Drosophila melanogaster: one gene and its partners. The protein of the gene in region 2 interacts with the protein of the main gene of each other region in a pairwise test. Each region holds a gene or a part of one and is shown on either strand. Other genes may lie near its edges.

Evidence for each region.
Region 1: the proteins of CG8204 (region 2) and Cp36 interact in a two-hybrid assay, tested with the Drosophila melanogaster proteins (one large-scale study listed by BioGRID).
Region 3: the proteins of CG8204 (region 2) and flr interact in a two-hybrid assay, tested with the Drosophila melanogaster proteins (one large-scale study listed by BioGRID).
Region 4: the proteins of CG8204 (region 2) and TfIIB interact in a two-hybrid assay, tested with the Drosophila melanogaster proteins (one large-scale study listed by BioGRID).

The regions. Positions count from the first base shown.
Region 1 is NC_004354.4:8,475,196-8,482,741, reverse strand, and holds Cp36 (chorion protein 36), read right to left. Parts: upstream 3,424-7,546; 5' UTR 3,386-3,423; coding exon 3,338-3,385; intron 3,249-3,337; coding exon 2,442-3,248; 3' UTR 2,219-2,441; downstream 1-2,218. Other genes in the region: Cp38 (chorion protein 38), read right to left, coding at 1-557, 784-828; Cp7Fc (chorion protein c at 7F), read right to left, coding at 4,578-5,474, 5,547-5,615; Cp7Fb (chorion protein b at 7F), read right to left, coding at 7,224-7,546.
Region 2 is NT_033778.4:15,570,043-15,576,805, reverse strand, and holds CG8204 (uncharacterized protein), read left to right. Parts: upstream 1-2,814; 5' UTR 2,815-3,072; coding exon 3,073-3,140; intron 3,141-3,195; coding exon 3,196-3,356; intron 3,357-3,414; coding exon 3,415-3,617; 3' UTR 3,618-3,662; downstream 3,663-6,763. Other genes in the region: Cdk5 (Cyclin-dependent kinase 5), read left to right, coding at 5,504-5,671, 5,736-5,923, 6,084-6,448, 6,511-6,674; CG30466 (uncharacterized protein), read right to left, coding at 3,880-3,993, 4,049-5,128.
Region 3 is NT_037436.4:13,407,304-13,416,953, reverse strand, and holds flr (flare), read right to left. Parts: upstream 4,112-9,650; 5' UTR 4,013-4,111; coding exon 3,979-4,012; intron 3,949-3,978; exon of another isoform or gene 3,903-3,948; coding exon of another isoform or gene 3,881-3,902; intron 3,638-3,880; coding exon 3,516-3,637; intron 2,897-3,515; coding exon 2,806-2,896; intron 2,618-2,805; coding exon 2,354-2,617; intron 2,289-2,353; coding exon 1,234-2,288; intron 1,178-1,233; coding exon 1,027-1,177; intron 960-1,026; coding exon 850-959; 3' UTR 501-849; downstream 1-500. Other genes in the region: CG10222 (uncharacterized protein), read left to right, coding at 4,502-5,425. UniProt on the Drosophila melanogaster protein: Induces disassembly of actin filaments in conjunction with ADF/cofilin family proteins. Together with GMF, promotes Arp2/3-nucleated actin filament array disassembly. Essential for organismal and cell viability.
Region 4 is NT_033779.5:10,427,615-10,435,486, reverse strand, and holds TfIIB (transcription factor IIB), read right to left. Parts: upstream 4,150-7,872; 5' UTR 4,085-4,149; coding exon 4,068-4,084; intron 4,011-4,067; coding exon 3,599-4,010; intron 3,544-3,598; coding exon 3,309-3,543; intron 3,246-3,308; coding exon 2,962-3,245; 3' UTR 2,371-2,961; downstream 1-2,370. Other genes in the region: TBC1D16 (TBC1 domain family member 16), read left to right, coding at 150-1,634, 1,709-2,332; Bug22 (basal body up regulated gene 22), read left to right, coding at 4,773-5,048, 5,105-5,428; CG5188 (uncharacterized protein), read right to left, coding at 5,576-5,772, 5,828-6,501, 6,557-6,639; KdelR (KDEL receptor), read right to left, coding at 7,678-7,872. UniProt on the Drosophila melanogaster protein: General factor that plays a major role in the activation of eukaryotic genes transcribed by RNA polymerase II.

The DNA of each region.
Region 1 (7,546 bases), on a different chromosome or scaffold from region 2:
CCCTGTCCGTAGCCCTGCTTGTTCTCGTTGACAAAGTACTTCTCTGCTGGGGGCTTGACCACATTGACGAACACGGGCTCAACCTTGACGCGACGTGGGTGGTGCTTGACGTAGACCTTGCGGAGAACGATTGCTGGGGGCTTGTGGAGCACCACGGGAGCGGGCTTAACCACCAATGGTGGATGGTTCACCAGCACCTTGGTGGGCGGACGCTTGACAATGATGGGAGCGGGACGATGGATGAGGATCTCGCCCTTGTTCTGCGGGTAGGTGATCGATGAGGTCAGGGTGTTACCCTTGGTGTTCACCGGCTTGTACGGAATGTTCTGGTCGGATCCGTAGCTGCTCTGGCCAGCCTGTGCCACACCGGCGGCATCGGCTCCGGATTCGAGAGCACCAGCACCGGCGTTAGCACCACCGTACTCGCCACCAGCTCCACCGGCACCGCCGGCAGCTGCTGCGGCCGCTGAAGCGGCATCAGCACCGCCATCGGAGGCACCGCTTCCGGACTCGGGTCCATAGCCCTGGGAACTGCCGTAGTTGGCGCTTGCACAGGCCTAAAAGTAAATTGAGGGGGGGGGGGTGGATTAGAATTGGATCGACATATACATATACTTAAAATAAGTCTAGCATCGATAGATAGCTTGATTCCGTTTCAAGTAATTTAAAGGAAAGTCAATTTGCTTTTCATGTACGATTTACATGGCACAAACGAAAGCAGTCAGAATTGATAGACTTGGTTTTCTTGGGATTAATCCTAAGATTTCGAGCTTGAACACTTACGATCAGGCAGGCGGCCAGCGCCCAAATGTAGGTCGATCTCGTCATCTTGTCTCCCAGTTGCAGTTCCAGTTGCTCTTCGGCTTCTGGTGTGCTCCCGCTTGGACTGTCTGCTGTCTTCTGCTGCCCTCCATTGGTGGCCGACTACTTTAAATATGCTCCGGACGCGTCTCCGGCTCCGGGTACGTGACATTTGGATTGATGCCAACTCCGGTGCCGGCTGTTCCGCTCCGGGCCCACGCGATGCGAACGAAACATGGCCAAATGTTGATAGATCGCACGCATCGCTGCCAGCGCATATCACGGCGTCTCTTCCACTTACGTAGAAGCCACAACCCGAAAACCCCACTGCCCACTGCCCAGTTGCCATTGCCCGTTTTACAATAACAACGAACACATTGCCACCGAATCGGAATCAACAGCCGGGCTGTGAATCTTTGCCGCATATCGAGGTCCGAACGTCTGTTCAGATAGCGAAAATAGTTCCGCATTGGCAGACACAAGACTCCGGGAGTCGGAATAAGAGGTAATCCGAGGTGTAAGTGGATAGGGGGAAATGATTAGCCACCCAGCTGTAGTCCTTGAATTTCACACGGATTGCGCAGATTCGATTGTCTTTCTATTGTATTGTATTGTATTGTATTGTATTGTATTGTATTGTATTGTATTTCTTACTATAAATGTGATTAGATTGTTAGAAGAGTGGCTATCTTCACATGACCATTTTTAATTTAGAAAATCCATGTAACTGATTAAACCATCAGTTTAAAGTACCATATAAAAATGTATACTTAATAATTGCCAGATAAAATAAATCTCTAGTTGCAAAGAGATTTGAAGATGAAATATGGATCTTTAGCTATTCCAATTAGGAATTCAAAGGCTTACAAACACCTAAAAAGATTTCCAATTCTTCAATTATTATGTTGTTATGTTTTAAAACAATCTTATGAAACTCTAATATGAATTTGGCGTTTCAAAAGAAAAGGTTTAAATACGTATTTAATGCATTAAAAGTGCTATATTCTTTGTTTAAAAGAAAAGAGGCCGTAAAATTATAGTTGCTCCATTAATTCATAGTTATGTTATTATTTATTATTCATTCCGGAATCAACAATATGTTGATAAAGATGACCTTTTGATCCCATTCTTTGCAATTAAACGATAACTGGAATAAGATAGCTACCATCACAAGAGTGTGAAATAATTTCATGCATGATAATGCTATCCAATATCTTTCGAATTGTATCTCATAAAATGCGTACCATGTTTATGCATATTTATAGAATAGTTAAAATACTTGTATGACCGTAGAGATTTCAATTACAAACTTATTTATACTCGTTCATAATTTTATGTTCATACTTTATACCATTTTCCCCTTTATTATTTATTTTTGAAGAAAACTAGATATAATTTTTTGTTCTCTCATGCATTCGTATATATTTATATATTCATAAATATGTGCTTAATCTGTGTGCTTCATTGCCACTCAGGTAGCCCCTTCCGGTCGAAAATAATTGATGACAAAACGTTTACGTTTCAAGTATTTTTTTTTCATTTATTTGCGCTCAGTAGTTCGGCAAAGAAAAAAAAAAACAAAAATTTAAATTAAACCAGCTGTCGCAGCTGAGGAGCAACCCATGCCCAGGATGAGCACCTTAGTAGTTGGGCTGGCCATAGGGCGCGGGGCTGTTGTACAGTGGAGCCTCGTTGCCGTAGGCATTGCCATCGGCAGAGGAGGCGGCACCGGCGGCGGAGGAAGCAGCTCCGGCACTACCATAACCCTGGGGCTGGCTGTACTCCCTGGGCTGGCTGTAGACGGGTGCAACCACCGGGGCCAGTGGAGCCTCGATCTTCTTGCCGGGCTTGTAGACCTTCACGTAGACGGGGTTGAGGCTCAGCGGAGTGGGCACCTTGTTGATCACCTCCTGTTGGTAGATGACCGAGGGCTTGATCTTGTAGATCACCGGATTGCCGCGCACCACAGTCGGTGGGCCGCTGTTCACATGGGCTGGTGGTGCACCAGGCTGGTGGACAATGATTGGTGGCAGGGGCTGGGTGGCGATCACCTGGTGATTGTTGTGGCCCGATGGCACCAACAGGGAGCGGAACAGATGCTGGTCAACGAACTGTGGCGACACCACCTTGATCTTGCCCTGACGGATATTGCTGGCCAGATTGGTCTCGGCCAGAGATTCGGCAATATCCTCGGAGTTCTTCAGCTTCTGGTAGTTGGGATCGGCATTGAGGGCCTGAAGTTGGGCCTGGACGCGACCCAAACGACGGGCCTCCTCCGGCGTGGGCTGGATCTCGGCCTGTGAGGCGATCTGATTGGCAGCCTGCTGGTTGCCACCAGACGCCACATTCACGTACTCCTCGAGTCCGGCATTGGGACCGGACAGGTACTGTCCATGTCCATGTCCGTGTCCGTGTCCGCCAGCGGGACCATAGTTAGCGCTCACCAGCTAATGAGGAGGAGGTAAGAGAGAGAGAGAGAGAGTTTGCGAGATTAGCGGGATGCCCAATGCGAATGCCATGGATAAAAGCTACTAACCGGCGTGGCGGCGATGGCCAAAATGCCAAACCAGAGACCGAGTTGCATGTTGCCGTTTACGTGTGGATCGTCTACTGCTCGCTGTCTGGCGATGACTCCGGCTCTTTATAGCGCCTATAATCGCTGCCCGCCATGGCCGGCTACGTGATCCATCTCCATTTCCGATTTTGCGCCGCATCTTTGTCTCGCCATCGTGCCCAGATCTCTAGACAACCAACCTCCTATGCACCTATGCACCGTGGTGCACCACTCTGCTTTCCGCTCGTCGCAATCTTCTATTTTTTGGCAGTTGTTTCCCTTGGCTTGAATCATAGCTCTTCCAAAGATCGAATATGATGCCAACGCTACGAGAGTCTCGTTTTGGTTGCCTTGTTGCGATGATTACAGCTGTGCTGCAATCTCTCTGCAATCCTTTGGGTTTGAAGTTAATATCCTTTATATGTTTTTACATTGCATTTTAACTTGGGACTTATACTGAAATGTGTACATAAACATGCCCTGCAGCAATGTTTTTTTTTAATCACCCAAATTTAAAGATGTTATCTATAAACTGATAAATATCTTACGCTCGAGATATATGAATAGATAATTTTTGTAAAAATTTCCGAGAAAGATATACCATGTAAACCATATTAGCAGATTATATTAGATATATAAGTACATTTATAACCGCATTCAATTCGATGCAGTTTTAAGCTTTAAGTTTGTGTTTATTAGCCATATAATTAAATTCAAAGGTATTAAAGACATTTAAGTTATTCCTCTTAAAAGGCATCTTTATTTTTAAAAATAAAATGCAACATTCTTATATTTTATGATTTTCGGTGGATTGTTTCGTCTCAATGTGAAATACAGTATCTTATATTTAAATCATTTGTTATACCTAAACTTATATAAACATTGTTACTAAAAACCTGAGCAATGAAAGTTAAATTGTTGATTCAATTTAAACTTGTAGAGTAGTGTATTATGAGTCACTGAAATTTTTTTCTTGATAAGCTCTTAATTCAATTCAAACACAACAAATTTTTGTATATATATATATTTTTTTTGTATTAATTTTATTATTTTTTTTAATAATTTCCTTAATCTCAGTGTTTGTGTAGTTCGTGTTGTGTGTAATGTGTTGGCGTGTGTGTATGTGTGGTGTGTGGTGTATGGTGTGGCTCAGTCCCATTTATAGAACTCAATGGTCTGGAGACCGCAAGTCTTTGGTTTGACGTGGACATGGATTTAGCTTCTAGAGACCCCGCTTATAAAGAAGGTAGGTGAGATCTCGTGCTGGTCGACTGCCGTAGTCATTGAAGGGTGATTTGAAGTTGAGCTGACCGCCAAAGGAGTCAAACTCCTCCTCGTGATGTTGTCGATCCTCTCCAGCTGATTTCATTGGCGAGGGATTCGATTGCTCGGCGTGCAGCTGATCTTCGCTAGAGTTGATAATATAACTCTGCGGCTTGTAGTTCTGCTGCCCATAATTCTGAGGCATTGCATACGTGTTTCTGTGCGGTGTGTGCTGTGGGTATTGTGGTTGTGGTTGTGGTTGCGGTTGCAGTTGTGGTTGTGGTGCATAGTGTTGTGCATGCTGTTGGGCATAGTTATAGCGTTGCTGGGCAGGATGCGATTGCTGGGTCTGCTGATGGATGAGATACTGCTGTTTCATGGCCATGGCTCGATTGTCGAAACCCTGACGATAAGCTGGACGCGATTGGTGTGGCGCAGGTAGAGGAGATGGAGGCTGGACTGCGCTGCCAGGTCGTTCGGCCCCCGGTAAATACTCGTGATGCACCTCCTCGTGGACACCGTTCTGGGTCCGGTTAATCAGGCGATTGTACTCTTCGTTGGTGCCGCCCACCTGCAGATGGATGGCATGTTTGAAGTCATCGCCCAGATGCTTTAGCCAAAAGCTTTCGTCCACTTCGCCGGTGGTGTAGATTCTCGTGGTCTGTCCACTTCTGGGCTTGCCCATCACCGTACCGGTAGCTGTGGCCACATCGATCACATCGTACTGCTCCCGATCACCCTTATCGTATGGCTCAACGCGAGCAGCCAAGCGATTGGTGGTCTCTTCCAGCGGCGCACCCGGAGTTGTGCTCACATTGTATTCCTCATCGGGGCCGGGCGTGGATTCACTTAGATTCTGAACGAATAATGAAGAATATACAAGCATTATTTATTTATTGTATAAACGGAGTGTATATAATGAACCCACCTCAGCGTGAATAATGGCCTGTGTTGAGACCAACAAGAGTAGTATAGGCCAACTGCCGTCGGCTGCCATTTCGACTGAGGGCCCCGGCTCCCATGGAATCCATTTAAATACCCACAAAAGTAGCTCGATTCGGTTAAAAAATAAAATGGCGTGCCGGGACGTGATCTATAACCAGATATGCCATATTCACTATTCACTAAATGTCTCATCCACGAATCTCCAGCGATCTTGATGCGTCAGAGAGAAGAAAAAAAACAAAAAAAAAAAAAAAAAAAAACTGTGAGAAACACCAAGCCAGGGTCATTCGAATTCTTTGGCACTAGTCAATGGGTTCGCTTGCAATAATTTAACGATACTTTAGTTGGTTTTTTAATGGGTGTATGTGCCATTAATTGGATGCTGTAAAACATTGTTGACATGCCGAGAATTACAAGGTCTTGGGATTACATCGCATTCGATTCTACAAAAATCGCACAATAAACTATGTTACTAAACACCCTACTTCTTTAATCAAAGGATAAGTGAGTAAGTCTGCCTGACATATTTTATAAAATTCTAGTCTGAAACGATAGATTAATAACCAGTTATTGCATTTTGCATACTATACATTATTTATTATTACTTAGTACCTATGAATCTTGAGTATTCTTCTAGAAATGTTTTGCTCTTATGGTCACGAAGTTCAGTGAGTTTTTTGTGGCTTTCGGTTGCGAGTATCTTTTGGCTTTTCAATAGTATGCAATCGCAAGAATTTTGTCGCTGAATGATGAACCACCACCACCATTTGTTTATGTAGAACAATAAATATTTGGCCATTAACAGATCGTGATCGTATGCAAATAAATCATATATATTATATATACTGGCTCTTTAATGATAAGTGAGCTTACTAAGACTAACGACTAAGACTAAAAAACAGAAGAATTGTGTTAGGTAAATAAATGCTAAAACCCTTAATTATTTATCAAAGTAATATGCCATTAGGCTATTATAATATTTGAAATGCTTAGGATTAAGAGCTGTTCATTTCGGTGGGCATACTTTTAGGGGTATCATATAGCTAGCTCTTTCTATGCCAAAGGTGCACCCAATGGAACCCCAAATCATCGAATCGAGCACATTTTAATCAGGCAAACACTTTATTAACCAGTTAATTGGGGCAACTTCTTGAAGTGCCGACAAAAGCGGAAAACGTAAACAGAAATCGGAGGTTGGATTCATAACTTCTATAGTACACGTAGATACATATATATATATATATATGTACATATATACAAGCGAATGGAGACCCGAAAGCGGAGTGCTCCACTGGCCTACTTTCGGCTGGATTTTAAGCCGAGCTCAGCAGATCGATGGGTTGGGTTGGGTTGGGTTGCATTCGGTTTGGAGTTTTGGTTTGGGTTTCGGTTTTGATATTGTTGGTTTATATGTAAGATCTCTCTTCAGTAGCCGTAGCCCGCGTCTTCGCCGTAGCTGCAAAGAGAAGAAAGACGAAGACGTTGGGTGAATAAAGAAAGAAACACCACAATGTATTTTCAATTTATTATATTCTGTTTTTTTTTTGTCTTTTGTTTTTCTTTTTGTTTACTTTTCGTCTATGATTTTCTCTGTTTTTTTTTTTTTTTCGTTTAAACTAAGTTCTAAACACTATGTATTTTATGTTGGTTAGATTGGGCACTAGAACCAGGCCCTCAGGTAATCCGTAATGGGTGGCGCATTATAGGTGTCTATACTGTAGCCATTTTGGGTTTGGCTATTATAGCCATAGGTCTTCGCGGGTTGTGTGGAGTAATCATTGTGTAAACTGTGCTCGGTTTCCGATCCCTGATCGAAACCCCAGCCGCCCAGCCGGCCATCGATGAGTTTCTTGAGAAAATCCGTCGTCTGTTGCTTTTGAATTGGCTCCGGATCGACCAGACTGCCCTCGGTGGAGTAATGATCGTAGGCAGGATGATTGTACACTATCCCGGAGATAATGCTGTCCAGTTGGGAGTCGGAGA
Region 2 (6,763 bases):
TAAGCTCGAAGAGATGGGGCAGGAGGAGCAGCAGGATCGGGAATGAGCAACTAGAGCCGCAGCGGCGGAAGACAAATGGCCAAGGCGCGAAGTGTTTGCAGGCCGCTGCCATCAATCAAAGCGGTGGACTCTAGGACTGCATCTTTTCGTCATGCAGTTAGATTTATGAACCTCCGGAATCGCTGTGCCTCCGTCCATTCTCGTCCCGGTCATATTGTAAATCATTTCCAAATTATTTAGTCGCTCTCGTTTCATATATATATTCATATTTTTGGCGCCTTTGCTTTTGCTCGTCGACGTCGAATGTGGCACGTGATTGCGTTATAAATTACAAGCCATTGGGATTCATATAGTCCTCGCAGCCCTTCCATTCCATCCCTCCGTGCATCGTGGTCTCCTGCTGATAGTTAATGTTCCCCGGCATCCGTTCGGCATTTCGAATTATTTTCGAATCCATTTGATGACCCACTAGTCCACTATCTCCAATACTCCGGTGAATTCCAATCGAATATGCTTGCAGATGTCGCGTTTGCATGCCTGCTATCACCCAATATGAATCCAACTACCTGGAAGGACTACAGGCGATCATCGCTATACGGAAAATAACCATTATTAAAGATTAAGAATCTATGGGACATACAATCTCCACTTGACATGTTGCATAATAGATATATTTATAGGGATTTAAACCTTTGCTGTGCAACACTTTGTGGTTAGTATGATAAAAAACTGCCTCCACAAGAACCAAACCTTTTTGAAAAAAGTACATTCGCGCTAAGGAAGTTCGACTGCCAAAGCCATATGTGTTGCATGTAATTTAATATTCATTATATGCACTATAAACGCTGTGCCACTACGATTGCATGATCTGTCAATCTGCCCAATTGCCAGGACTATCTGCCCCCTTATTTTTCCACCTTCCAGTGTTTTCCTCGTTTGGCTTTTCGGGCGATAAAAACGAAGCGAAAAGTGCCGCTATCTATTAATATCGCTTTTGGCTTTTTCGCTGGCGGCTAGCTGGTAACTGGTAGTTGGTAGTTGGTAGTTGGTATTTGGTAACTGGGAAAAGCTGGGAATGAAAAACGCTGAAAACTCCTAACGAACGACACCTGCCCTCGGAAAATGCCACTACTGCACCCCGCGAGAAACTTTCGCCCCATTTGGTGGCGTGTGTCTCGCTTTTCTTCTTGCTGTTTGCATTGGTCGCCCCTTTTCCTTTTGGCGATACACTGCTGCTGATGTTGCACGAATGTTGTAAATCAAAAGTAGGCGAGTCACACGAAGGGTCTTCCTGCCCCCCCGAAATCCCTGCCACCGCCGATAGCCGCTGCTTGCCAGCGCCTCTGCTGCTGCGCCTATTTGACTGGCAGGCCGAGCGGATAACGCTGGCAATTATCGCGCTTGTGCCTCACGAACAGCGGAAGCGGCAGAGGCGCCACATCATGTTACCCGGCCCGATTCCCCAGACCTTCCACATCCCCAAACTCTTTGTTAGCCTGCATCCTTTGCTTTCTTTTGTACCACTCGTTTTTCTTTGTGCAATCCAATTGGTAGCGCTCAGAAAACAAAGCAAAAACGATTGAAAATAACAACAACCAGTCCCGGCTACAAGTCCCCCAAAATATGGCAACAGAAACAAGAAGAAAAAAAACGATTCATATACGAGTATAGCCATGCACCTAGACCACCCCATCCGGTCAGTCAGTCAGTCATTGAAGTCATTTATTGCCACCAAAAGTTTTTCGCTGTTTGCCATACCCTCGCAGAGGTTATTACGGCTCAGACTAGGAGCAGGACACGAAGGATCTCAATGGGTGTAGTTATCGTATACAGGACTGTAAGAAGTTATAACCCAATGACATTACCTATAGGACTATCATTATTATCAAATCTTAATGACACACATCTATATGTGTATATTTCATAGCTGAATATGGCCATATAAATGAGATGTTTCTCTTGCAACTAAACCTACTTTTTAGGACTATATATTGTGCATACACATAACACGTTTTCATTAGAAAGAAAGCTTAATAACAAAGGGCATTCCATGCTTCGGTTAACCAATCGAGCCTCACTGTTGTACTTATTTTTACTTCTGGTTGTACTGTACTTGTCTTTGGAGCTGGAGCGGATCTGAACGACTCCTTCCCGGGAAGGACCGTTCCGTTTCAGTACGTTCCGTGTGCAGGATATGTTTACAATTTGCGGACACGCCGACCGTCATTTGATTGCTCCCCTCGCGCTTGTCGAATTCTCGGTTAATTCGCCAGGTGGCTTCAGACTGCGCATTGCCATCGGCGGCGGGGGGAAAGGATTGGGAGGCTTTGGGGCGGAAAAATGGGAGGGCAATGATAAGCGTTCCTCGTTTGTTTGCTCGGAAGCCTCACGGAAGATGACGTGCCCGGGATGGCCCATAAATGAGACTGGCCAAAGCAAACAGACCGGATACACAGGATACATTCAATCAAATAAGGCTATTCGTAACCGGAAAAGGGCAGGACGACTCTATGTCTTCCTCAATCTGACCAAACACTCCGCTAATCGTATGGTTAATAACTAAAATACCTGTGGATAATCTTTAAACGTTTTCAATATGTAAGTCAGTGAGATACAGATACAGTAGATTGAAGCTTTCTGACTATATAAAGTATTTACTTATTTATGATGAGCAAAATTGAATGTTGATGATGAACATTTTATTTGTTCCAGCAAATTGTTCAAATTCAAATTAAAAGTAATGGCGCCAAAGATAGAATTCATCTGTTGACGAAGGCTGGCAGCTACAGAACAATCTAACTAAGCTATGGGATTCGTTTCAACACACTCGTCGTAGAACTCCACTAGTTTTGTTTTCTCACTAAATTAACATGCAGCCCCGCGATCTTATGCGCATTTTAATATTATTCTGCTTGCGTTTTGCATTTAACTTTTTGATTGTTTACCTCCAAAAACATAACGCCGTTCCAGTGGAGCAGAAACGGCTTGGAACCCTCGATAGAGGCAAAAGCTGGAGGCTATAAAACTCGCACAGCTGAGTTTTATTTTGCACGCGACATTGAATTTGATGAGATGGAAAAATGCATTATTTGCGTAGATAACTTGAGAAAATACAAGTGCAGCAAATGCTCGGCACCCTAGTAAGTAGCTATTCGAACAGTTCACTACGGAGATAATAAATGTCGCAAAATGTAGCTGCTCTGTGGCTTGTTATAAGACACACAGGGATTCGCCCCAATGTGCGACAAGGGAGTCCGACTTGAAAAAGACTGAAGTTGGCTACCAGGAGGAACCTACGCTTCATGTGCCCTTCCCCACCGACGACACAGTTGCCGCGGAGAAGCTCCAGCAACTAGGTAGGTGTTTAAATTCGCAATTATACACATTTCTCATAGTATGATGGTTTCCGTACAGAAAACTGCCAGGAACTGCGTAATTTGCTCCACAATCCACACCTGCGTTCGCTGCTCCAGCAGATTGATGTGGCCATCAATGCCCAGTCGGCCATGATGGCCGCCATGCAGGAGCCACTCTTCGTGGAGTTCGCTAATGCCTGCCTTCAAGTCGTCGAACCGATGACGGATGCTGAGCGCACTGAATTTGAGTTGTACTCCTGAATTAAGTTGACACACAGTCTCAATAAAACTAAGCCTTTATTTTGTAACTAATAGTACTGTCAATCCTTGGCAGCTTCTAGAGGAGCTTGCATTGAAGAACTCCTGGAAACTTCTCATTGAAATCCGCCGGTAAGGTTGAATCTTTTCCATAACCAGGGAAAACGTACAACTAATTATTTGGCTCGGCCATTTAAAGTTATCTATCTCAGCTGGCATATCAAACTAGTCATCAGTCTACAGCTTCGTTCCTTGGCAATCAAACTCAATCAAAGTAAATTGAAACTGGATCCGAGTTAAAAGTGATTTTTGGATGCTTCATGTGCAACTTGAAAAGCCTATGTTCCCCTTGCACTTTCCAGGTCATGGGGATGGGATCCTGTAATGAAAAATATTAGAAACGAAAGCTAATATAAGTTGTGAAATACTTAGACCTCATTAGACATGAGATACGTGTTTAGTTCCACATAAATATTAAGTGCTGTGGTACGGTTTTCTCCCAGTTTCTTCGCATCGAATGTGAACTCCTTAAATCCGAAGGTGCAATGGTATATACCCAGGACCTCGTGTGTGTTTAGGTTTTGTATTAAGGTATGAAACTTAATTTCGTCCACACAAACCGAATTTTGTATATAAAATTCATTGACATTAATGTGAAGATGCTGATACGCATGCATACCAAAATTAGCCACCTTTAGGGTCTTAATAGCCACATTTAAACCGTAAGTTTCACAAAATATGGATGTATTTTGGCTTATCTCGATCATATTTATAGTGCTTCTCTTCGCAGCTATGAGAATCTCTCTCAGAAATCCGTATCTAACGTGACCACAAAGAAATAGCTTCTTCAAGTGAGTTAGACGTTCCAGTTTCGATAGGAACCACACCATCATTTCCTCCTGGAAGCACTGCAGCTGCTCTAGGTTTCTAATCCCTTTCCAGGGCAGTTCTGTGTTCGAAATCTGGTCAATATCGAAGATACCCAGCTTCAGGGATTTTATTTTTCTGGTTTTCAGGATCTGTATCAAGTTGGTGACATTGAATTTGCTGCAGTAGGAGACCGTGAGGTTCTCGAGAAACTCGAATTCATCAAAGTGTTTGCCAGTAAACTTTCCATGGGGGCTAAAAGTTGTCAGATTTGGAAAAGTTTTCAACATTCTTGGCACGTCCGCATCGTTTAAGTTAAACGAATGCGTGGAAAATCGAAAATCTTTAAGTTTTGGAAAACTACAGCTGGTAAGTGTTTCGAAGTTAGATCTATTATTCATTTTGAGCCGCAGAGTGCTGAGGATTTGTTGAGTACTTTCCAGGAAGAATAGCAAATCCTTGTCGCTCAGCTGCATTTCAATCAAGGATATATATGCACATTTGTTATAAGCACGCCACACATACGGCATTAATTTCTTAAACCGGAAATGAAAGTCTTTCAGTTTTAGTTGGGTCTTCAAGTCGAGATAACTTAGAATTATCATTAGAACATCATCGGGCAGACATAGTAAGCCAGGCTTGGTATTCTGCAAAGGGCAAAAGAAATTAGGAAACTTGTATACTTATATTTCTGCTATATTGTTGCATTGCGGTACCATAAGATCGGTGTTTATCATTGTCGGTCTATATTCGTATGTTTAGCTAATATCGAGTCCAAATAAAACAATAAAATTATAACAAAAGTTTTATCAACATTTTTAAAATGATATCTGTTAATTTTGAGTATTTTTGGTGACAGCAGACTGTCAGCTGCGATGTTGGTTAGTCACCGCGTGCTGTAAGCGAATAACAGTGTGCTGTTAGGCGCACGAATCCCTGGCCAGCAAAAACAAACTGCAAAAACAATAATCCCCGGAGTTTTCCATCTGAACGCAAAATAATACACACCAAAACACAGCAAAATGCAGAAGTACGATAAAATGGAGAAGATCGGGGAGGGCACCTACGGCACGGTGTTCAAGGGTCGCAACCGCGACACCATGGAAATAGTGGCCCTGAAACGGGTGCGACTGGACGAGGACGACGAGGGTGTGCCCAGTTCTGCCCTCCGGGAGATCTGCCTGCTGAAGGTCAGTCGGACGAGCAGGAAGTGATTCCAGTTTATAAACTAAATCGGCACATTACCATCCGTAGGAGCTGAAGCACAAGAACATTGTGCGCCTCATAGACGTCCTGCACTCGGACAAGAAACTCACCCTGGTCTTCGAGCACTGCGACCAGGACCTCAAGAAGTACTTTGACAGCCTCAACGGGGAGATCGACATGGCCGTCTGCAGGAGCTTTATGCTCCAACTGCTCCGCGGACTGGCATTCTGCCACAGGTATACCTATATATGTATCAGCACTGGATTAGGTCTTATCTTGTGTCGATTATAGTTAGAATCAAGTGTTATTTGGAGTAACTTCATCTGTGGCACATTTCCGAATGATATCCATTTTATAGCATTGAGACTTAACTTACGCTACATTATCCTATTTTAGCCATAATGTCCTGCATCGCGATCTGAAACCACAGAACCTGCTGATCAACAAAAACGGCGAGCTAAAGCTAGCTGACTTTGGTCTCGCTAGAGCCTTTGGCATTCCCGTGAAGTGCTACTCCGCAGAAGTGGTGACCCTGTGGTACCGACCACCCGATGTCCTATTTGGAGCCAAGCTCTATACGACCAGCATAGACATGTGGTCCGCTGGATGCATTTTGGCCGAACTGGCGGACGCTGGACGACCGCTGTTTCCTGGCTCTGACGTGCTCGATCAGCTGATGAAGATCTTCCGTGTGCTGGGCACCCCCAACGAGGACTCCTGGCCAGGAGTTTCGCACCTCTCCGACTACGTGGCGCTTCCATGTAGGGATTCTAGACGGATTTTATTTATCGATACCAATATTAAAAGCCTATTTATATTATAGCTTTTCCGGCCATCACCTCGTGGAGTCAGCTGGTACCTAGGCTAAACTCCAAGGGACGCGACCTGCTGCAAAAGCTGCTCATCTGCCGGCCAAATCAGCGAATTAGCGCGGAGGCGGCGATGCAGCATCCCTACTTTACGGACAGCAGCTCTTCGGGACATTGAGGTCGGAAGGTTCTTTCCAAGCCACTGTTTTCACGACCTTTGATTAGACTTAAGCCAAAATGCGAGACTTTGTCCAGCAAAGATCTTTT
Region 3 (9,650 bases), on a different chromosome or scaffold from region 2:
CCAATTTTCATCACCCACTCATGAGGTGCCCAACATATGAATATGTCAACTTTTAGTCCCACCGAAACCAACGTCTTAGACCCGGCTGTGATAATTAGCGCAATTCGTTTTTCGTCTTCTGCACTCGAGCGCCTTTCTAGCTATCTTAATTTATGTACTTACGTTTAGCACAATTTACGTTTATTTTTTCTGAAACTTTAGCAACCTCCGAGGCTCTCAAACTGCAAGTTACAAACACAATCCTTTCGCTTTCACGCTCTCTCACAAGCACACGTCCACACATTCTAGTAATCTAAGCCAAGTTTTTATAAATATTGTAATTATACACCTGAACACGCACACACACTTGCACACAAAAAGACAGGGTGAAGACCTACCAAACCAAAAAAAAAAAAAAACACAATTTTCAAAGGAATAAATGTTTAAGAAGCCAAAGAAATTGTGCGTGTTTAGCTAATTTTCCCGATCGCAACCAAATGGAGAAAAGTAATCGGCGAGCTATGCAAAAACTAGTATATTTCATTTCATAATACAATAATTTATGTACGCTGGCGTACTTTACATATCTTTGTGTTTCCTTTCGTAGTTCGTAGTTCCAGTAGTATAAAAATTGTTCGAAAAACACATACGAAAATGATAGTGGGGCAAAGTAGTTGAATATCCATGATATGATGATTAGCAAACACTTTTGGCTTAAAATTAAAGACATGACATGAGGTGTGCGGGGAGGGCGGGGAAAAAGACATAAATATCTAAATGTAAACTGTTGCACTTAAATGAAATGAAGCCAGGGCGCTGCTGGCTGCTCTCCCTGGATAAGTATAAAAATATGCTTCACGGCCGGCGCATTTAAATGTTTTCCACGTGCCACACCTTGGTGTTGCAGTCCTGTCCGGTGGAGATCACAGTGTTATTGTCCAGCCAGACCAACCGAGTGATTTGCGACTGCGGATGGGCATCTGGAGTGGGCAGAAAACAATATGTCAGATATCGCTTAAAGCTTACTACTCTTTTTGAAATACTTACTCTTGATGATAGTATGTTTGGCCGGATTGGCCACGGACCAGATAATGATAGTAGTGTCCAATGATCCACTAGCAACCAGCAGCGAGTTGGGCGACCAGGCCACCGTATTTACGCGAGCACTGTGGAAGCCCCACTCCTTGTTGTGTGCAGGCTTTTAAAATACACTCGATTAGTAATGGAATTAAGACATTTATGATTCCTTAATACCTTGTACTCCTCCACTGAGTAGAGCACCACCTTGCGATGGGCATCGCAAGCCACCAAATACTTCAAGTCCGGCGAATAAGAAACATCCGTGACAGCTCCCAAGTGATCCAGCTCCACTTTGGGCTCCAATACTCCGCCCTTCAGGGTGTAGATGTGCAACTTTTGGTCATCCCCGCCGACAGCAACATCGGAAGTGTCCGCATTAACGGCAATCGAGCTAGCCTCGTACTTAATGGGCAGCGAAAAGATCTTCTTCTGGTCCTGCACGAGAGTCAACTCTTTGATGCAAGCAAGTGCAATGATGTTCTCGTTGCGCAAAATGGCCAAGCCACGTGGCTGGCAGTTAAGCTTCACCACATAGTCCGTGTAGGAGTTGCCCTCCACGCTGAACTGGCGTAGGCTGTCGTCGATGCCACAGGTATAGACAAAGTCACCCCAGGCGGCAATGCCGTTGATCTGGTTTCCGTGTCCAGTGCCCGTGATGCGATCGTTGGTGCCGCTGCCCGAGTTCCAGTTGGTCACCACGCCATCGTGGCTACCCGTGTATATGGTGCTGCGGTCATCGCTCAGTCCCAGCACGGTGATGGGCTTATTGTGGCCCTTCACCACACGCAGCGGTTTCGAGGGATCCGCCACATTGAGGTAGGTGATCACGCCCGAAAGCGAGACGGTGATTAGGTTGTCTCCTTGCCACAAGCAGGACACCTGCTGGTCGTCCACAGTGGTGCCCATCACAAACTCGCTAACCAGCTCGCGCGACTCCACTGTCCAAAGGCGGCACGTCTTGTCGCCGGAGCAGGTTAGCAGTTGGGTGCTGTCTGGTTTCCAGGCCAATGCGTAAACGCCGCCCTTGTGGGCAGGAGATCCAAATTCGCCCACCAGTTCAGAGCTGGTGCCATCGTACAGAAAGACTTTGCCATCAAAGCCGGCGGAGGCGAAGAATTTGCCATCGGGCGAGTAGCGCACAGCCTGGACGAAGCGAGAGTGATCCTGCTTGGTCATCTTGAACTTGAACGGGGGTCCCTCGAACACGGCGATAGTATTGTCTTCGCTGCCTGTAATAACAAGTGTGTGTGTGTAAGTAAGTTTATTGCATTTTGGGACTATTATGTGAACTCACCCGTAACAATGCGGAATGGCCTGGCTGGCCGGAAGTCCGCCGAGTTAATAGACTTGGACTGGCCACTGATCTCGCCCACAGACGTGCCGGTTTCAGACATAAAGACATGACCGAAACGTTCGCGTCCTTCACCCACGGCAACGATGCGCTGATTGTCTGGCGACCAGCTAATATCCTTGATGGGTCCTGCAATGGGCTGGAACTCATTTTTAAGCAGGTGCTCCTTGTTGACCGTGTCCCAAATGCGAATCTTGCCGGAGGCGTCTGGTGAGAAGAGGAGAAAGCCAAATAAATAACATTGCTCGCTTCAAAACCGCAGATAAGATAAAGAAACCGCTCCAAATAAGGAAATGCTAATCATGACCGTGGCGTGACTCATAGTGGTCACGATTTTTATGCTCTGTTGCCGAAAGCCGGGTGCTCCAAGTGTGAAATTGCTGGGCGAGACTTACCACCAGATGCAATATAAAATCCGCTGGGCGAGTACTTGGCCACGTTCACTGCACACGAGTGCTCCGTGTAGACATCGGCAATGGCTGGATTCTATGGTGCGGAAGAAAGGGAAAAGCATACATACATATTTTAGAGACACTTTTAGCAAATTAAAACAAATTAATGGTAAATGGGATCCTAATTATGAACATAGGTGTTTGGTTTTGAATTTGTTATGTATGTTTCCTTCATTAACATTTCATTTTCCAGAACCTGAATATCTTTTGGCGGAAGATTTTATTTCTTGATCATTAAAGATACCATAGAAGTGGCGGGATTATCGGGACAAAAGACAAAGAAACATGGAAATATTTTGAATTTATACCGATTCAATGGGTGAAAGATAGGCAAACACATAGCTGCTGTGAAGAATCACTTTGACCAGATGAAAACATCATAATGATGATGCGTGGGCGGCAAACAAGAAATGTATCTATGTGCCAGTCTGTGTTTTGCCGGTTGGCCTGTGGAATGGGAATCTGTGTTTTGCGCCTTATATACTGTACATATATATATAAATAAATATAGAACAGCTGCCCGAAAGCCAGAAAGCACACACAAACTGGCAACAGAAACTGCAGCCTGTCCAAAAATAAAACACCATTTGGACGTAAATGCCATGGATTTATGGCAGGAACGGAGCAGCAGGCTGCAGCATATATCAGCTTACCTCGATGTTCCGGATGATCACAGAGTTTCCATTGGTGTACAGGAAGTTCTTGCCCTTGGGATCGGCACCCAAAACGATGGGTTGGCCGCGTTGGGTGCGCGGCAGAGTTGCGTAGATGTTTTCTGCAATTAAGCGATTATTTCGATTAGAAATGGGCTGTGACTGCTGCTACTCAGATAACGCCGGCAAATTGGAGTGGGTGGAAAATAGGGTGCGGCTTCGTTTTTGGGGAGCGAACGGGAACGGGGTCGCTCCAACGGCTCCACACGCGCCTCCTCTTACTGCTTAAAAAGGTCTTTCATATGCATCTATGCCCATTTATGGGCATAATCACGGTGCTTCCGGCGATTGCTTTCTGCTTTTACCGTTTTTCGCCTGTTGACTCATCCCCCTCTCTACGTATCACATTCGGAGTGGGATCGGATTCATGACTCCAGTTTATCTCTGTGGGATTCCAACTCACTGTTTTCGTACGCCGGTGGTTGGGGTTGTGCCATTCTGGTGATTTCTCGGTGCTCCTGAAGCCTTTACTAATTAGTGCGAAATTCCGCGGATAAATGAAAACACCAAACTCAAGTTCGCCGACGATTAGTGGTGGGCTAAGATCGATGTTTTCACCATCGTCGTCATCGATGGTTTTTTCTTTGCTTTATATCGACTTTGCGCTGCGTTTACCCCTTTTTAACAGCGAAGTGAACTGGAAGGAAATTAAAAATATATTGTTCTGTGTTTTATACTAACAGTAACTACTAATTGCTACCGTTTTTAATTATACACTAAAAAATTGTTTTTTTTTTTGGGATTGAGTTTTCAATTTCCTATATTTGAAAAGGAAATATATAATCAAAATTGTATTTTTATCTAATTTAATAAAATGTATATTTTTCAAAAACTATCTAAATATCGATAAATTGCGCCAAATAAATTAATCGGTCTCTGTGGTTCCCCACCTCTACCATTGTTTATATTTTTCATTTTCCGCAAGAATGATGCAAAGATTTCCGACGCAGGCGACCGTGGAGAATCCACGTTATGGACAGCTAATCATAGGACCTCCTGGTTCTGGGAAAACCACCTATTGCGGTGAGGCCCTTAAGTTCTATCGCGAACTGGGCCGTCAGGTGGGCGTTGTGAATCTGGATCCAGCCAACGAAAACATGTCCTACGAACCGGTGCTAAGTGTGATGGAGCTAATCACTGTGGAGGATTGCATGGAGCACCTGAAGCTGGGACCAAACGGAGCTCTAATGCACTGCGCTGAGTATCTGGCCGACCATTTGGAGGATTGGCTGTTGCCGGCACTGCGCAAACTAAGCGCCACTTACAACTACTTCCTGTTCGACTGTCCCGGCCAAGTTGAGCTATATACCCATCACAACGCTATGGCCCGGATTTTCGAGCGTTTGGAGCGTGAAAGATATAGCCTGGTCACCGTTAACCTTATAGATTCCCATTACTGCTCGGAGCCTGCCAAATTCATTGCCACTTTGCTGATGGCATTGAACACCATGTTGCGGATGAGTCTACCCCACGTTAATGTGCTTTCCAAGGCCGATCTGCTAAAGAAGCACGAGACCAAGTTACACTTTAACGTGGACTATTATACGGACGTCCTGGACCTCAAGTATCTGCTGGACAAACTGGACGATGATCCCGCCATGCGCAAGTATCGAAAACTGAATGCAGCCATCTGCTCCATGGTGGAGGACTACGCTCTCGTTTCGTTCCAACTGCTGGACGTCTTCAGCACGGACAGCATGCTCCGCTTGCGCAATCACATCGACAAGGCTAATGGATACGTCTACAAGGCAGGTGAGGAGCAGACGGTCAACTCACTACTAGCCTGCGCCGTGGGTGCAGAAACTGAGGCCGCTCGCATGGAGCATGATGTCCAACCCTATATGGAATAAAAGAACTGAAACTAATCGAAAATAGCCTGTGATATTGTGCATTGTATTTCGAAAATAAGTTATACAAGTCGAGAGTGAGGGATTAAGGTACGGAATGAAAAGCAGTGATTTTTTGGATTTATTAAAATATTATCTCGGCTTGAACTCTTAAACTTTTTTAGTTGTTTTTCTAACCACATATTTTTAAGAGGAAATAAACCTTTAAAGTTGTTTAAATACATTGCAATAAGAATGGTTGATAATCACTTGAGGATCACCTAATCGGAAAACACCAAGAGAACTCTACATTTGAACTTGGAAAATCCAGACCACCACTAGATGTCGCTGCAAACGTTAAAACGTATGATGTATGTAAAATTTTACAGATGTACAGAATTGTACGGGTTTGAATTCAGAATTATTAAATTAAATTTAATAAAAAAAAATACAACAAAAATCATTTCGTTTTGTTTTGTTTTTGGGCTTTGTTGACTTTTTCAGAAAATATGTCAAATGGAGAAAATTGTATTTATATAAATTATGATTTTAAGAATATCCTTTGCTAGGCGAATAAAAATTGACAATTGAACTGATCTAAAATATCAATAAAGAAACTTATACTAAATAATAACTTATTACATAAGAACAGGTATGAATTTCGAAGTCTGGTAGATCTCATCAAAAAGACCCACGTTTCTCGGTAAATTAGTTAGGCTTCAATCAAACAAAAGCGTCCTTTTTAGCATACAAAAACCAAAAGTTCAACTTGAGTCGAAAAGGATCTGCATCTGAACCCTATACTTTGATTTAACTAAAAGCAAAGTCCTCGTTAACATAAATAAAAATTAATTAAGTCCGAGGCGCGTTGTTTTGCGAGATAAGAGCTGGAACGACCGGTGAACATCTCGTGGCAAGCTGCAAATTGTGGCACGTGCACCACAAAACGGGATTGCCATTGACTCCTATACCACGACCAAGTCGTGAGCACTCGGGGGCTCCGTCTTGCAGACACGGGAAGACGCGTTGGGATATAAAAAAGCACCAGGAGTCATCTTATTTTAAGCCGATTCGTGAATCCCCTTTTGCGGGTAGCTTTTATTTAATGAAGCGAAAAAGTTGTTTATTAAAAACCAGCCAAGTTATGCTAATTTACGCTTGTTCTTAAATCTAAAAAGGAGTTATGGATCTTCCTTATACATGTTTAAATGATACGCTTTAGGATTTAAAACTCTTAAGGGCTAAAAAAGAATAAAGAGTTTTAAGAATTTATTGGATTTCTCACCAAAGAATGAGCGTTTACAACAAATCATGAAAGATAAATTTGCTGTATAGCATTGATTATAAAGATATTTAAAAGCCCTCTGCTTAAGCTGGTGGCTCCTCTTTGTAGGGCATAAGAAAACAGCGGCAAAAACGAAAACAGTTATTAAATGCAGCAGGCTCTTGTCAGATTGCAGCAGGCTGGCTGCCAATTCCCCAGTCCCCATTCCCATTCCCAATCCCCCAAAGCACCGATCCCCTTGACCGCAAGCCAAATTAAAATAAACGAAAGTGGTTTCGTGCCAGGACGAAGTGAGTGGGGCTCGGATTCGTTTTGCCTTTGCGATTTGTGTAAAGCAGCGGGCTGCGGTTTCTTGTTTTTTTGGCACACGCTCTGCAGGATAATTCGTCGCGTCCTCAAAAGCCATAAGTGCGATCCCCTGCGATGTAAGCGCGTCAGGCTAAACAGTTAAGCGACCTGGCTTGTAAGAGCGCTATTTGGTTTTGCTTTCCAGGCCAGTCCTGGCAACGATTGCGGTCAAAAGACGCGCGTCCTGTTCCCGAAAAGCAGGTGCACACCAGCAGCGGCAGTCGGGGAAAAATGTGCCAGCTAAGCAACCGGAAAAAAATAAAGGAGTTTCGGCTCTAAGGGCATAGGACTAGGAGATGACCTAGAAAACACGAAGTACGGAACTATTAACAAGAATCCCTTAATTTAAGGAGTTTAAGTTAATCACTTCAATTTATCCCATTTAACGTTTAATAAAGATAAATAAAAGAATGTTTCAAAAAAAAAAAACATCGTCCGAAAACGTGAGGTATAGCGATTTTCATATCAATTGGCCACGTTCTTGGCCAGTTCTTATCACTCCCCTCATACGCTCGCTACACCCATCATACCCCAACGATACCCTGTGCACCCCCATTCCCTATTATTACACGGTATAAATGCCTAAAAAAACAGCCCAAGTCAAGTGGGCATCTAGATACGAGTAGAATTCCACCTAGGGAGAATCGAACTCGGCGAGGGAATACACAATATTTGATTGATCTTTTTACATACTCGAGAGAGAAGGGCGAGATATGGGCAGATTGGCGGGCCCATGTGGAGGATAGGAAGTGAGCCGCCGATCCGAAACCCAGATCGTAGGTAGGCCGGGTATCCTGCGTATCCTGCGTCAGTTGTGCTGAAGCCGCAGCAAGAGGAGTAAAAATGCCATATGCTGCACTTGAAGCGCAGGCAGCAACCAGCAAGCAAAGGCATCGGCCAAATCATTAACTTAAGGTTAACGGTTGCCCCTGCTGCATTGTCTTCATCCCCGAAACAAAAAGCGGAACCAAATGCTCAATCTTGACCGGAACTGTAATTTGATCGAACCCGCGCACAGATATTAGATACGATAAGATCTTTCATCTCCCAGCAGCAGCAGCTTTTTCCTGTCGAAAATTATAAACTAAGCTCCACTAGATCGAGATTCTTTAAAGAAACCTCTCCGGGTTATTCACCCGACCGCGATCATATGAGATCGCCCAACAGTTGCACATTTTTGGGTCCTTTTTCGTATTTTTTTTTTTGTTTTTCCCTTGCTGTTGCTCATTTCTTGCCTTCCCTTAGTACCTGAGTTCATGAATCGCCTTTCGGGTTTTGGATTCGGGATCGGGGCGCGTGCCTGCTGTCGTCGTCGTCTTCGGTGGGTTTTAAGTCCTCAGGTTCGGTGTATCTGTATCTGTGTATCTGTATTTGCAGCGAGCACATGACGCTGCTCACCACTGTGTTGGCCCTTTGCACTCTGTTGGCTTGAGTTTACTGGCTTAAACTGTAATTCAGGACGCTGCTTATGCAAATATTTTGATCGTATGCCGAGACGAGAACAGTTGGAAATCAACAGGATGGGAAAGTAGTAAGCTTAAGAGAACGAGAATGTTTTGAAAAAAACCGTTCTTTACTACAGGGATACTCGATTTTGTGCATTTATTTCGAAAAAAAGTTATACAAGTCGAGAGTGAGAGATTAAGGTACGGAATGAAAAACAGTGATTTTTTGGATTTATTAAAATATTATCTCGGCTTGAACTCTTAAACTTGTTCTATTTGTGACTTAACCCATTCGGGAAACCGAGCAAACTCATAAATCAGCTCCAGCATTTCCCCCTTGCTCAAGTTTGTTACCATCGTTCATATGAGACGCGTTGACACTTATGAATTGCTTGGCAATTTAAGCGACAAGACACCCACTACCACTAAAAAAAAAACACAGAAAGAATCTGCACAGAGATTAAAATTACGATTTTAGTAAGTTGCTATTAAAAAAAAAAGTTTTTTAGGAATACAAAATATAGAATTCGATGTTGAACTCAAAAGACTTACTTTCTGTTTGGAAAAACAGAGAAAGAAAGGACAAAATAAATATAGTATCTATAAAGGTATATTGTAGGAACCATAAGGTTCAGAGATCGAAGTTACTTATTCGGAATCGTATTTTATTGTGCTTCCCCATAGCTTTCCCATTATTGGCCAACTATTTTACAAGTGTAATGGCAGCACCACACGTAGCATTCGCGGACGACAATTTACACCGGGTGCTAGCCTGGAAGCCAAGTTACTGAGATGCGGCTGGCGCCGACTTTTCGCCTTGAATGGGTCGCTAAATCAAGCAATTATGAGGGCCTTTGTCGCAACTACATACGTACGAAGTACCGAGGTTCCAAAGTACCAAAACATATGCAAATCAGCCGACCGACGACCAGTCGAGAGATGAAAGGTCTTGGGTCTGCCGGAGATAAAGGGAAATCTGTTCAGGGCCAATGAATTGATTTTCCTGCGCCCATTCCCATTCGACTGCCGCCTGACTTACGCGACTGACTGGGCCTAGTTTATCGGCCAACTGCCACGCCCCCCGCCGCGTTGCGCCCCTTTGGGCCCTGCCACACCGCATACATGCAAAGCAAACCGCCAAAGTCAAAAGAGAGTTTCGGGAGCTCGTTTT
Region 4 (7,872 bases), on a different chromosome or scaffold from region 2:
AATCAAACAAAAATCCGCCAAACCAGAAGCTAACCAGAGAAAAAAGTTCCCCATCCGCCCACTAGTAAATCCGTTAGGATAACTCCGGGAAGGAAACCTATAATTCACCATATAGTAGTTACCCGCTCAAGGATATCAAATTCGAGACCATGCCCATAGGAAGCATTATCAAAAAGGCTTCTAGTTTCATACTGGGCGACGAGAGATTGGACAGAAAAATCGATATTGCTTACGAAGACAACGAAATCCTCTTCTGCAAGAATAACGTCTGCATCCATCCGCCCACAATCGCCCGCGATGAGTCGGATATACTGCACAATCCGGGCTATTTGACCTGCACGACAAAGACCTTTGTAGATCAGTATAATAGCGCCAAGAGGCCCACGCTTCTGCTCACCTGGATACCGAACTCGTCGCTATGCAAGTATACCAATCTGAATGCCGACGATTGCCGGGGTCAGTGTAATCCGAGGAGCAAGTCGCCGGACTCTCGAAACGGCTACTGCCACGTGACCATACCGCAGACGATCCAGGAGAGGGACATTCGGGAGGAGGATGAGAACGCGGCGGATATGCAGGAGCTAAAGAACGAACTGCAACCGCTGCTGGGTGGCCAAGCTGCATCCATAGACGACTTGACCGCTCTGCTGAAGAATAACCCCATCACGTCGGTGAACATAACGATCTCCAATCCGCAGATCGAGAACAGCAATATATCGCAGTCCTTCAACTGCATCACCATCCGGCCGGATAGTAACAATTGCTCCGATTGCACGAATGGTTCTGGAGTAGGCGATGGCCCGGCAACCGATAACCCAAAGTGGACAACACCTGAACTGCTGGCCTTCAAGCACAACCTGGAGTTCCCGGATAGCGGCAATTCGACGCCAGCCGATCGCCAAAAATCCGCGATGAAGTGCCGCCATTTCTCCGTTGACCTAAGCCAAATGCGATCTCTGCGCCTTTTCTTCAATGACGACAACTGCACTTCGGGTCAGCTGGTGATCGCGTCGCGGGAGTCGCAGTACAAGATTCTACATTTCCATTACGGTGGCTTGGATCACCTGGCCCAGGTGCTGCACCAGTGGCACTGCTTTCTGCACAACATCACATCGGAAACGGGCCAGGATAAATTCGATTTGCCGTACAGGCACTTCATGGTCTGTCGGCCGGAGGTTAAGAAATCGGAAATGCATCCGGACGAGGGCGATGTCAAGAAGATAACAACGAACTTTTTCTACGGCACGCTGCTCAATGAGAAGGGACAGATCGAGGACGACTTGCTGCTCCGGAAATGTGTCTTCTTTGGTGGCTTGGAAAAGAGTCTGCGAAAGACGGTGTGGCCATTCCTTCTAAAGTGCTACTCATTCTCCTCGACATTCGAGGATCGCGCAGTGCTCATGGACATCAAGCGGCAGGAGTACGAGGAAATTACGCGAAAGCGCCTGTACTCGATGTCCCCAGAACAGCAAATTCACTTCTGGAAGACCGTGCAGATTGTGGTGGAGAAGGATGTGGTTCGCACGGATCGCACCAATCCGTTCTTCTGCGGCGACGATAATCCCAATACCGAGGTCATGAAAAACATTTTGCTTAACTTTGCCGTATACAACACCGGAATGTCCTATTCCCAGGTGGGTCCTAGATCCAGTTAATGGTTAGCTCGCTTCTTCAAATTGTCCTTAATATTTTGGTTTATAACCCACAGGGTATGAGTGATCTCCTTGCGCCTGTCCTGTGCGAAGTTCAAAACGAGTCCGAGACCTTCTGGTGCTTCGTTGGCCTGATGCAGCGGGCCTTCTTCGTCTGCACTCCCACCGACCGGGATGTGGACCACAATCTGAGCTACCTGCGCGAACTGATCCGGATAATGCTGCCGCACTTCTACAAGCATCTGGAACAGCACAACGACTCCATGGAGCTGCTCTTTTGCCATCGTTGGCTGCTATTGTGCTTTAAGCGCGAATTCACCGAAGCGGTGGTCATACGGATGTGGGAGGCGTGCTGGTCAAACTACTTGACAGACTACTTTCATCTGTTCCTCTGCCTGGCCATCATCGCTGTCTATGCGGACGATGTGGTGGCACAGAATCTACGCCCGGACGAGATGCTGCTGCACTTCAGTTCGCTGGCCATGTACATGGACGGCCAACTGATCTTGCGAAAGGCGCGCGGCCTGCTCCACCAGTACCGCCAGTTGCCGAAGATTCCGTGCACCCTGAGTGGCCTGTGCAAGCGTTGCGGTCCGGGAATGTGGGACTCCGAGCATCGACCGGCGCTGGAGTGCGTGGGCCACAGTGATGACGAAAAGTGCTCGCTTTCTATTGACTAGTTATCTAATATATACACTGTTTAAACTCAGCAATAACTATTGTTGGCGACTGATATAATTCGTCATTAACTATTAACTATTAGCACATGTATTATGCTTTGGAATTATTAGTTTGCTGCCCTGCTTGGCTCTCTAAATGAATTTAGCCATTTACTACGTTTAAACGCCCCGCTTTATTTGCAATTGATAATGTTGAAAGTTACAGATTGGTCGTCTTATTTGCGAATTTTTTATCCATTTATATTATTACTAATTACTTAAAGCTTATGTATAAACAGAGTACGTGGTTTGTTAAACTTATTTTCGCAAATAACTGGCAAATAAACGTAGTGTGCAATTTTTGTTTCTGGTTATTAGCTTATATTATACCAAAGATACACAAAAAATGTAAAAATAAATCAAGCAAGCAAAGTATTACGAATCATTGGAATAAAGTTCAAAAACTGAAAGGGTTTAACTCAGATAATTAATTTAACAATGATTTAATTATGTTCTGATTGGTCCAACAGTTCTATTTGAATATTAGTTATGCTAACTTTATTTAATAAAATCGTAATTTGTGATTAAATTAGGAATTTTCCTTCACTTAACGTTAGCGTTAGTATTGAGCATCGGATCTACGAAAAGAATTACATCTGTGGTAACTGATCAATGGGAGTGGTAAACTTAAAGTCCTCGGGGAAAAGCTTAGCTGCGTGCGGATACATAAGTTTGTAGGACTGTCTGATGGTGACGTCGGCCACACCGGCTATATCACCGATTTCCTTCTGGCTTCTCTTATGCTCGGATGCTTGTGAGGCCATATAGATTGCGGCTGCGGCCACAGAAATTGGCGAACGTCCCGGTACAATATCCATCTCGACGGCTTTCTTTGCAATGTGCGTGGCAGCGCGTTGGACCATGTTCGGCAGGTCTGATAAGAATTATAGGTATTAATCCTGCTACCTTCAAGTACAGAAAGTGTAAAAACACTTACCCAAGTTGGCGCAGAAGCGGCACATGAAGTCCGCAGTGGTTATGAGATCCACACTTGTCTCGAGAGCCTTCAATGTTAGCTTAAAGCAACGGCCAATCTCTTTTTTGCTGATCTTGCTGACAGCACATATTTCCTTGAATGTGCGAGGAACTCCTTCTTGGCGACAAGCTATATACAGACAAGCGGATGCCTTGGCATCGTTGGAACGACCCTTGAGGTTCTTTCCATCATGAACCTACAAGAAAACGGCATGAGGTCTCAACCAAATCAACCGCGAACTCGAATTTCACCTGTTTGAACAAGTTGTTGGCCCGATCGACAATGGTTTTGGGCAAGTTAATGCGATCGGCCATCGAGGATATCTCCTTAAAGGCTGATATGAGGGAGCGATCCGAGCTGCTCATGGTGCGTCTGTTTTGGTACTTGGGTGCTCCAAAGGCGTCAAAGGATGCGGATCCTGTGCCCGGACCAATTATGGTGGACAAGTCGCCGCCACTGAGCAGCGGATTCTCCGGTCCACCGACACGACTGGGATCCACGCCGCTCTTCTCGTTGCTAAAGGTACGCCACTCGGAGCCCACATCAATTACGCGGTCCCCAACCACCAGACCACACTCGGAGCAAATCATATCGCCAGCCCTGTAGTCCTCGATGAGCGGAGATTCGGGGTGTGCGTAGCAGCACACCTTGTTGTTGTCCAGTCTGCAAGCAGTAAGCCATTATTGGTGTTCACAAATTGTTAGGAAACCCGACTTTTACCTCGATGTCGATGCCATTTGTACTCTGTAAGCTATATATTTTTTTAATACTCACATCAACTGGTGATGTGACTTTGCCCGATAACTCGATAGCTGCTTAGGTTTTTGCTTCACAGAAATCGGAATATGGGAAAGTCAACTTTAATAATTATTTTTCTGTATTTTAAGTTTTCTTGCTGTTAATAATAACTTAACCACCTTTAGCATTTTAGCAATCTGTTTTACTTTCACAATTAATGTTCTATATTTTAAGTTTCCATGCTGTTAATAATAAGCACCATTTTAACTTGATTAAAAGTTATTAATTCATAAATAAAAATTTTTAACAATAATAGATGTTTTTTGTCTAGCCAATTCCAAATTAACGCATGTTATTATTTATTTTTTAAGCTGTTTCTTTTTCACCGTTCCATAAGCGAGACAGGCCTTCAACTTCGCAATTTCGCACCCCACATAAACATGCGAGCATGTTCAAGCATTTGGAAACGTGGCAACCCTGCTCGCTTATTGTTATGGCAACAACAGGATGCCGTGCTAAACAAACTCATTGACATGAGAAAATAATCAAGTTCCGCATTGATGTTCGTAGTTTGTACGAGTTTCGGCTGTGCGAAAAATTTACGGCCAACCTTAACTGGCCCTATATAAATTTCGAAGAGACTATACTCTCCGTGGGGCGAACCGGTCACTGCACAGCAGTCGCGAAATGTTCAAAAACACTTTCCAATCGGGATTCCTATCAATTCTGTACAGTATTGGCTCAAAGCCACTGCAGCTGTGGGATAAGAAGGTGCGCAATGGACACATCAAGCGGATCACCGACAACGACATACAAAGCCTCGTGTTGGAAATAGTCGGCACCAATGTCAGCACCACGTTCATAACATGTCCGGCAGATCCGAAGAAGACGCTGGGCATCAAGCTGCCCTTCCTGGTGATGATCATCAAGAACATGAAGAAGTACTTCACCTTCGAGGTTCAGGTAAGCTTCGTCATCTTGCATAAGACAGTAACTCCATGATTTCCGCCCCTAATCAGGTTCTCGATGACAAGAACGTGCGGCGAAGGTTTAGGGCCAGTAACTACCAGTCGACAACTCGTGTCAAGCCTTTCATTTGCACCATGCCCATGCGATTGGACGAGGGATGGAACCAGATCCAGTTCAACCTGTCCGACTTCACGCGTCGCGCATACGGCACCAATTATGTGGAGACACTCCGTGTACAGATTCATGCAAATTGCCGCATCAGACGCGTCTACTTCTCCGATCGTCTCTACTCGGAGGACGAGCTGCCGCCGGAGTTTAAGCTCTTCCTTCCCATTCAGAAGCCGGTGCAGAAGTCCAATGCGATTTGTAGCTAAATTCTGTATGCATCATCAATCAATTAGAGCACCTAACCAGACGGAGTCGACGATTAAAACGGCACAAAATGCACAAGACTGCCATCCAGCACTCATTCAACACTTTATGGGAATCACGAATAAAAATTGCATCATGTACATAAAATTCTATTGATCTCTTGTAAGTATCTCCGTTCCCGTCTCGGTTATCAGAATGGTGTGCTCGAACTGGGCGCTACGTGCGCCATCCAAACTAATGGCCGTCCAGCCATCTTGCAGCACTGCTATTTCTGCTCCGCCCAGGGACAGAATGGGTTCAATGGTGAAGGTCATGCCGGGCTGCATCTTTCCAGGAATCTCATTATCTACGATGTGCAGTTTGATTAGCAATGGAGGAGTCTCTTAAACAGTCTTACTTACAATAGTGTAGTATCTCCGGGGGGCCGTGGAAATAGCTACCGATTCCATGTCCAATGAAAGCAGCTATCGATGCCAGATCATGTTCGTCGCAATATCTGTCTATGAACTTTCCAATCTCATTGAATTCCACACCGGGGCCGCACAGCGAAATGCACTGATCCAAACAGGATTTAGTGGCCTCCACGAGAAAGCCACCCCGTTCGTCCACGTTGCCCACCCGAAATGTTTCCGAACAGTCGCCATGGTAGCCGTTCAAAAAGACTGTGACATCAATATTTATAATATCCCCATCGGCCAACTGCCGGTCATCCGGAATTCCGTGACAGGCGATATTGTTGATCGACGTGCAAATGGACTTTGGGAAGCCGGCGTATCTCAGCGGCGACGGATACGCTTTGGACTCGAGAATTCTTTCATGCGCAAAGGCATCAATCTGATCGGTGGTTGTGCCAACTGTTGCTAGTTTACCGCATTCGCGCAGTATCCTGGCCGCCAGTCTGCCGCTTAGACGCATGGCATCAATCTGAACCTGGCTTTTGATTTCGGGCGATCCCAGCGTGTTACCCGGTGGCATATTCTTGAAGTAGTACGCCGGTTTCTTGATCTCCTCGGGCACAAAACGTTCCGGGGAAACTTGGCCGGTGGACACGATCTGTTCATATTTGCCAGTATCTCTGTAAGTATACCCATCAGAATAGAGTCCTGAAAGAGATAAGCCGGAGCCCATACCCCTTAACTTTGCCGAACTGAAACAAGTTTCTGGCAGTCGTTTTCTGGCGCATTAAACTATTTAAAAGACCAATTCTTCTCATTTTGTTTTGATTATGACATTTTTGCAGTGTGGCAGTGCTGTAAATATTTTTACAGATAACAGCCGAGTGTTAGGGGTATTCCCCCTTTTTTGATAACGGCACAGTGCTTCAAGTTTTTGGAAACTAAACAATTTATAGAGATGTAATATATATTTATACATCCTTACTAACTCTTTGCATTGTAATCTAATAAATAAAAGAAAATCGAGTTGTTTATTGTACTTTGTTTATAATATAATATCTGCAAAAGTGTTTAAAATATTATTTATGCCACATTAGGTTCGTATTTGTTTCGTACATGATCTCCATATAAATTAAATTTTCCATTTGCATCTGGCATGACTGCGAAGCGTGCAAGGGGAAACGAGGGTGTTGCAGAAATTTAATATATCTTTTCGGAATTCAATAGAAGTTGTGCAAAACAGCACATGGAGTTCCTACGATCCTGCGGCCTATTTTTCAGAATATTATGTGTATTATATGTTGACATCGCTCATCATTTACTTTACTATTAGCCACACAATAAGACTTAACTTTACTCGGATTTTTAGGATACAGTCGACTTAAGAGCTATTTAATGCATAACTTTAAATTCTTAATTAAACAAAGAAATCTATGACCTCTTCTGTGATACTATTGCGAATCAGATAAGCCTCCGCGCAAAAGAGAAAACATTTGTTTCGATTTTGTCAATTAACGTTATCTCTTACTGGAGTAATGATTTTTTTTTTTAATATTTTTGGATTCTAAAATTTGTGAGTGCAGTTCGGAAAACGGAGATTAATACATTTGTTACATTTTCAATGTACGATGTCGGTATTGCATAGTTTATAGTGTACTTTCGATTTTCGGTTTATTTCTCATTAAATAATTACAACTTAGGCGCTCCCCTCGATTATGTATCTTTTGTATAATATGAACGAAATACGCGTTGTCAAACGGGCCGTGGATCGCTCGCTTGTTTACTCTGACGTCGATTGATGATGTGTGCCGACAAAACACAAATGTCCCACATCTATGCACTTATCCATCATCCGCTTATGCCGGCAGCTGGAGCTTCTTGCCCTTAAGAACTTTGGTAATGTATAAGTAGAAGAAGTCGCAGTACAAGACGGTCTGGACAACTCCGGCGAAGATCGCGATAAGGTCGTAGTGCGACTCGACCATGTACCGGTAGACCCAGTTGAGCAAGTAGAGTGCACGGTACGATCCCAGGGCGAAGAGGTAGTGGCT